2 linked regions of the Xenopus tropicalis genome follow. The protein of the gene in region 1 purifies or fractionates together with the protein of each later gene. This does not show direct contact. Links are inferred from orthologs where the notes say so. Each region holds a gene or a part of one and is shown in the gene's direction. Other genes may lie near its edges.

The links.
Region 2: the proteins of gsk3b (region 1) and akap11 purify together in Homo sapiens (affinity purification with mass spectrometry; 4 studies listed by BioGRID and IntAct, with this or other methods). This does not show direct contact. The link is inferred for Xenopus tropicalis from reciprocal best matches to the Homo sapiens genes GSK3B and AKAP11.

What each region holds. Positions count from the first base shown.
Region 1 is NC_030678.2:1,861,772-1,865,524, forward strand, and holds the start of gsk3b (glycogen synthase kinase-3 beta), read left to right. Parts: upstream 1-1,065; 5' UTR 1,066-3,224; coding exon 3,225-3,312; intron 3,313-3,753. UniProt on the Homo sapiens protein: Constitutively active protein kinase that acts as a negative regulator in the hormonal control of glucose homeostasis, Wnt signaling and regulation of transcription factors and microtubules, by phosphorylating and inactivating glycogen synthase (GYS1 or GYS2), EIF2B, CTNNB1/beta-catenin, APC, AXIN1, DPYSL2/CRMP2, JUN, NFATC1/NFATC, MAPT/TAU and MACF1.
Region 2 is NC_030678.2:132,784,428-132,788,180, forward strand, and holds the start of akap11 (A-kinase anchor protein 11), read left to right. Parts: upstream 1-1,132; 5' UTR 1,133-1,368; intron 1,369-3,753. UniProt on the Homo sapiens protein: Binds to type II regulatory subunits of protein kinase A and anchors/targets them.

The sequences.
Region 1 (3,753 bases):
TCGATTGTTTGGCCCCAGGGCCAAATGACCAAACAGGGCTGGAACTAGGGGTGGGCAGAAGAGGCAGCTGCGTAGGGCGCAACGATTGAGGGGCCTGCCTACCCCTAGTGCTACTTTGTCATTGCCTCCACCGCTTGTCATTAGCGGCAGAGGCAATGACCAATCTAATCATATCGCCCCCCCCTGCACCTCCTCCTGTGCTTTGGTGCGCATGCGCCGTTCGGGGGGGGGGGCGGGGAGGTGGGCGGAGTTGGCCGACCGGGTTGCCTAGGGCGCTCAGTCGGCTTGGCCCGCCCCTGCAACCAAATGAGCCTAAATTCCCCTAAGGGTGGGCAATATCGGGAGAAGATCTGCTCGCTTGGTGACCTCGCCAACAGTCTCTCCTCACAACCTTCTCTGGGGCCTGGGTGCAAGTAAAGGACCCCTCCTGCCCCCCTTTGGTTTCAGCCATTTTCCTCCTTATGGCACAAGTACCCAAGCACACCGGCTCCACTATGGGGGGGTAAAACCACACAGCAGCCCCTCCCATATGATCCACCATGGGATTTCAGAGATCTGGCAAATGTTAGGGATCTGTAACAAGGAACAAATAGGAATATATGACAGGAAGGATGTGCCCACACACACAAATACCCCCCCACTCTGACTGAACACGGGGCCGGGGCTCAGACCTCATATCCGTGCCCCATAATATCCCAGTTACCACAGAAACCCACATTTCAACCAGCTGATATAATACATGAATAATAAGAGTTAAAAGGTCACACTTCCGGTGTCTTAACAAGGATTGACAACGCCTACTTCCGCCCGTTCCTTGCAGCAACAGCTGCTCCTGCCTACCAATAGACGGTCGTCTCTTATTTCTGCCTCGCCTCTCCTTTTATCTCTAGGCTAGGCCTGGTTAAGAAGACGGACAATTTCTTTAGCCAATCAGAGTCAAGCAGACAACGGCAGGAGGCGGAGATTGCAAAAATAAACGTGTCATTGGAGAAGCTGGGTAACATGATGGCCAATCATAAAGCAGTATCTATAAAACGCCAGCCATTGAGAAAGGAGGGGGGGGAAAGCGCTGAGTAGTGACTGAGAAGCTCGATAATTGGTTAGCTACGTCGTCTTCTCTGCCCCCCCTCTCGCCAATCCGTGTAGTTGATTGGTTTCCATGGGCTGGTGAGTGATGCGGGCGGAGCAAACCGAGATCAGAACGTCATGAAGGAACTGGCGAAGGCCCGCCCCCTCCCTTGCCCGTATTCTCAGAGCAGAGTTACTCAGTTTCGCTAGCGTGCGGCTCGTTGGACGCGTGGTGCGCTACGTCATTGAGCAGAGAGGGAGGAGAGGATTGCGGGGAAAAAGACCGACTGGCAAATGCGGTCAGTCGGACGGAGAGTGACAAAGGGAAAGAGACCGAGCTGGAAGCGGTTACCGGACACGGATACGGTGGAGATTACCTTATTTTAACGCCCTGCGCAAGGGATTCTGGGACAGTACCGACCCGAGGTCCAACGGGAACCGAATTTCTCTGCCCGGTGATTTTATCCTGCGCCGCAGCTTCCGCCCGGGAACCCACCCCCGGCCCTGACAGCAAGTGCCCGGCTCCCTGGGCCCACAACTCCGCTCTCTCCGCCCTCTCTCTGCCCGCCCTGTGTGAGAGGCGCCATGGCCTCAGCCTGTGCCCAAGCCCCGCTCCCTGCCCGCCATTAACCCCACCTGCCCCGGCTAATACCCCTACTGGGGCAACATCTGGGCTACTACCCGGCCCTGGGGCGAGATTTGCCCTTTACCCACGCACTTCCATAATTACCCCTAGGGCAACATCTGAGACATCCAGCTGCCCCTGCTAATACCCCCATTGGAGCAGTGAGACATCCAGTTGCCCCTGTTAATACCCCCATTGGAGCAGTGAGACATCCAGCTGCCCCTGCTAATACCCCCATTGGAGCAGTGAGACATCCAGCTGCCCCTGCTAATACCCCCATTGGAGCAGTGAGACACCCAGCTGCCCCTGTTAATACCCCCATTGGAGCAGTGAGACACCCAGCTGCCCCTGCTAATACCCCCATTGGAGCAGTGAGACATCCAGCTGCCCCTGCTAATACCCCCATTGGAGCAGTGAGACATCCAGTTGCCCCTGCTAATACCCCCATTGGAGCAGTGAGACATCCAGTTGCCCCTGCTAATACCCCCATTGGAGCAGTGAGACATCCAGTTGCCCCTGCTAATACCCCCATTGGAGCAGTGAGACATCCAGTTGCCCCTGCTAATACCCCCATTGGAGCAGTGAGACATCCAGCTGCCCCTGCTAATACCCCCATTGGAGCAGTGAGACATCCAGTTGCCCCTGCTAATACCCCCATTGGAGCAGTGAGACATCCAGTTGCCCCTGCTAATACCCCCATTGGAGCAGTGAGACATCCAGCTGCCCCTGCTAATACCCCCATTGGAGCAGTGAGACATCCAGCTGCCCCTGCTAATACCCCCATTGGAGCAGTGAGACATCCAGTTGCCCCTGCTAATACCCCCATTGGAGCAGTGAGCTTCCCACCCCCATCGGATCAATATCTCGGCTTTGCGACTGAAACCTTTGCCTGAGACCCTGTCAAGGGCAATATTGTGCCACAAGTGGGGCAAAATCACAGATTCCTGGGGGCAACTGTCCTTATTCCCCCCCCAGACGACGTATGACCAGATCCTCCTAGTTCTGCCGCTTTCCCACTAGAGCAGAACCTGCCCTGTTGCCCTGCCTGTGGTGCAGTATTGTTGCAGTACCACTTGAAACTGCCCTTAATACTTGAAGTATTGCCCCTGCAGGCACAAGCTTTGGGCAACAGCCTCCGGAACCTGCTCTGTGTGGCTCCAACCCTTCAATCCATCGCTAAGGAGCAGTAGCCCTGTTACCCCCCGAGCGTCACCTGTGGCCCCGGCAGTGACAATCCCGTGGCCCTTGCGCCTGTGACTAAACCACTGATTCCCGGCTACATGGCCTACTGACACCCCGGCTGCCATATTGTGTGCCCGACTGGAGCCCGAGGGATGGTCTATAAATAGTGATCGTCGGAGGGGAAAGGTGACAATACAGAGGTGGGGGAGAGGGACCACCGCGCCGGGTAGGCCCCACTGCTTTCGGTAAGGGCTGAGAAGCTTATTGTGCGCCGGGGCCTTGATGGTCTTGCCCTCCATCTGGCTTTGATCTACAAGAGAGAAGGAGGTGAGGGAGGAGCCGGAGAATCATGTCGGGGAGGCCGAGAACCACTTCCTTTGCAGAGAGCTGCAAACCCGTGCAGCAACCGTCATCTTTTGGCAGCATGAAAGTCAGCCGTGAGTATCCCTTTGTAGCACCGTGCCCGTGTGTGCCGTAACTCCCCGTAACCCCCCCCCCCCAGTGTGAAGCAGAGGAAACCCGGCTACAATAAGGGGAAATGTGCCCAATAAAGCTGCACTCACGCCCTCATCCTGCATGTAAACCGATCCCACTGAATTACCCCTAATACCGTAAGGGCCTCGCGCAATTAGGAGTTATTTTTGGATTTTACTGAGGTCCACCGAGATGCCAGTCTGGGATTAGGGATGTCACTCAGTCGCCAACGAGGAGTTTGGCCGTGACGCCCGTCCCTGGGAGTCTGTGCAGAGGTCTCCTCCCCGGATGGTCTGCAGAACCCACAACTCTCTGCATTGAGAGATATTGCACTCACTTACTGTTATTTCAGCAAAGTGTTGGGCTCCAACGGGTGTTGCACGGGAATTGTAATGTTCTAAAGT
Region 2 (3,753 bases), about 130 Mb from region 1:
GAGAGCAGTGATACAAGAGAGGAGTGATCATACAGGATAGTGACCATACTGAACCTGGCTTCAGTCTTGCACACACGTCTGCTGCCATTGTCACAGTCCAGATGCCAGTCTGGGGCACAGTGTGAGCCAAGGAACAAGCTGAGCATCACTGGCCACTAAGGATTAAGTATTCATTTGGTTTGTATGGGCCCAGTACTTCCCTACACCCACAGCAGGTGCTTCTGTGATCTCTGTCTCTATCTGGGTAAAGGCCAAATCATAGGTATAGAATAATGAAGATATTGTGAATTGTACTGGACCTTGCAATAAGCAGTGTAGCTTCAATCCCACTGTTTCACAAGTAGCAGACATCTCTAAACAGAACAAGTTAGGGTTATCACCATTTTTTTTAAAAAATAATGGCCTTCCCATATTTCTGTCTTTCCTCCCTATTAATAACATTGGCATTGCGCATCATTTTTACCAGACAGGCCATTATATACCGGCAGTGCAATGTTGGTTCCCAGTGTGATGGCAATCAGAGTTTAGGGCACTAGAACATGATGTAAGCACATGGGAATGGGTTAAATTAATGTGCAGAGTTGTAAAATATAAAAAGTAATACACATAACGCCATCAAAAATCCTTTAAACTCTACCCTTATAATGCCACCAGTTGCTCAGAGATGTAATTTCACATGTCACATGACTGTTTCCTTGTGTATTATAACAGATAATATATCCCCTGGTTTTGCAAAATATAAGGATATTAGACATTTCTGGAGAGTTCCATGACCTGTATAAAAACATTTGTTTGGCCATTGAACTCCCCAGAGCCTTCTAATACCCTTATAGTTTACAACTGGGATATTTCATTCCCTATATTTTTGTGTGAAACAGAGAAATATTATTATCCCCATGCAGCCATTAATGTGCTTTAATGGCCTTGGAGCCACAGACAGGAATTGTTTACACAGCAGAAAACCTCATTGGCGCTGTACCAGCTATAGGTCCAACTACAGTGAGTGGCTACAGTGAGTGGCTACAGTGAGTGGCTACAGTGAGTGGCTACTGTAAGTCTCAGCGCCATACATGCACTTGCCGGCTATGACGTCAGTGCCAGCCATTCCTATTGCCAACCAACGCGCCGTCAGGGAAGCGCAGTGAGATGACGCAGGAGAAACGTCAGCAGCGAGTAGCAGCAGCACAACACTCCCTCAGCTGCCCAGCTAAGCTTCCCAGGGTCCGGGGCCCGGAATCTGCCAATGATGCTGCCACTTGGTTTATTGCGATGAAAGCGCTGCAGGAATAACCGATCTACGGGCCGCAGTTGCTGCAGCGCTTCTGTGCACCTTGTGGCGTTGGGGGCCTGCGTATGACCGGATGATAGGTAATGATAATGGCTGTCAGCTGCTCTGTGTGCCTGTCATTCACACCATTCGCAACATAGCACTGCAGAATCTCCATGGCTTGCCTGCGCTTCTGTTGCTGCTCTGTCAGACATAGGCTACTGGGAGTTGTAGTTGCACACAGACAGTATGGCATTCTTGCTTAAAGTAATCCGCTGATTAGCATGCTTAATCCTTTTATTGCTGCTAGTTATGATTTGCCTCCAGGTACAGTGATCCTGGGAGTGTGGCACCTTGTTTACTTTTGGGCTCTGAGTGGCCTGTGACTCAAATACTGGTACTGCTTTGTGCTATTGGGGCGGATAAAACATGAAAAGTAACCACTGGTTCCAACCTCTGTCACTGCACTTCCTCAATACAAAGTCATAGCTGTAAGTTTCTATATGAATCAGCTGTCTGAGTCCCAGAGTAGGGGGACCAGATAACCAGAAAATTCAGGGCCTAGAATTTTCCTTAATACTTGTCATAGTATTCTCCTGGGGTAGCAGGTTGTGCTACTGTGTTCTAGTCTGAAAAGTAAAAAACATAAAGAAATTGACACTCATGATGACATTTGTGGGAGTGAGCAACTCCATTACATTGTGACCATTGGCTCAGGGATAAATGGCATGGGCCAAATCAGACAAATATTTGGTTGTCTGAATACTTTACCAAACAATGATCTTTATTCCCTTCTGTTCCTTCCAGTACAGATGGACAGGATTTTGCCAGTTTAGTCAAAATATGTCCCATTAACAACAAAAACAAAATCTACCCTTTCATCCCTTGGAAAGTTTATCACATAAGGTGAGCCAAGTTGCCTTGTTTACCTTCACCCTGATGATTATGGCACATGTGATATTGTTTGGTGCCAGGCATATAGTCTTATTGGAAGCACCTTCCTGCTGTTTTTGCCTTTGGAATCCTTTGTCATGGCAGTCTCTTTGTTACCTGTGGTGGGTTTGATACTGTGGGTTCCTTGTCTTGTCTCCTTCTTAAGGTTTCTGACTCGGGGAATGGGGACTACCAGACGCATTCCTGTACATGGGTGCATTTGGGAGATAGGTACTCACATACATAATGCTGTGGAATCTTCCCAAATGTAGTTAGTTCAAGAGCTGCAGATAAGACTATGGGGCTGTTCATCTTCAGGTCTGTGAAAACCCAACACCCATCTTTTCCTAGAAAGTATGAAATTGTCCTTTCGGTTTGTAGCCCATAGCAATTTCCAGACAATCAGATTTCATCATTTTGGAGCAGTTTGATTGGTTGCTGTACAGCAAATATGTTAGTATGTGGTTTTTTTAAAGCTTTAAAATTTATGGATGGGATGCTGCCAGAAGAACTATGCAGTTATCTAGCAGATACACAAACAATAGTCTTTGGTTCCAAAATAAGACATGTTATTTGAATGCAAAGGCAGAAGAATAATTGTTCTGAAAGGAGGTATATATATGGTGGTATATATGCATTTCCATGGCTCTCTAATTCTGATAATGGGCTGCAGTCAAACAGGTTTGATTTCATTGTATTTAAAATACTAAATGGCTTAATACCTCACTGCTTGTTAAGGGTAGTGCCACATGGGGCTTGCGTATAAACATAGGCAGAGAATCCACCGGTCTCTGCTCATTCATGTGTCTGAACTCATAGGCACTGCGTTGGCCTGGGTGCAGACACACAAAGCAGATTTCGGTGTAAAACTACATATGTTTTCCCGGAATTCCCTCTGGCACTGTTCCCTTTAAGCTGTGTACTCATGCACGTGCACACAAATCAATACATTTTGAGTATATTATTCTGATATTTGTACACCAGTTTTTCAAAAGTGAGCACAAAGAAACTTTTTGTGCACAGAACCAAGAAATTAGAGGGAACATCCATGTGTCTGCACCCAGGCTATTGCAGTTACAGTGAGTGCAGAGGCCTGAGGATTGGCTGATTCTCTCCTCGTGTTTTTACACAGACTGAGAATGAGCCCCATGTGGCACTACCCTAAGCAGGAATTTAATTTATTACTTGATTTGAGCAGGGTTGTGGAGTCGGTACATAAATCCTTCAACTCCTACTCCTTAGTTTATGGTACATTCAACTCGACTCCGACTCCTCCGATTCCTTCACTTTAAATACACTAATGTATTTTCTATGTTGACCAAATAGAACACAACATACAAAGCATTTCATCACTGCCAAAACTCAGCAGTTGTAAAGCTAGATGAAGATGGTGTCTGCTTTTGGGAACAAACCAAAGAACTACTTGCTAGGCAACTGACGCATTATCCTATTGGCCATACAAGCCTTTCACAGCCAACATGAATGAGGATACTGTTGAAGTTTGGGTCTAAATCTATAACTAAGCTAAGCCTATGTCCTTGTGGCTTTTTATC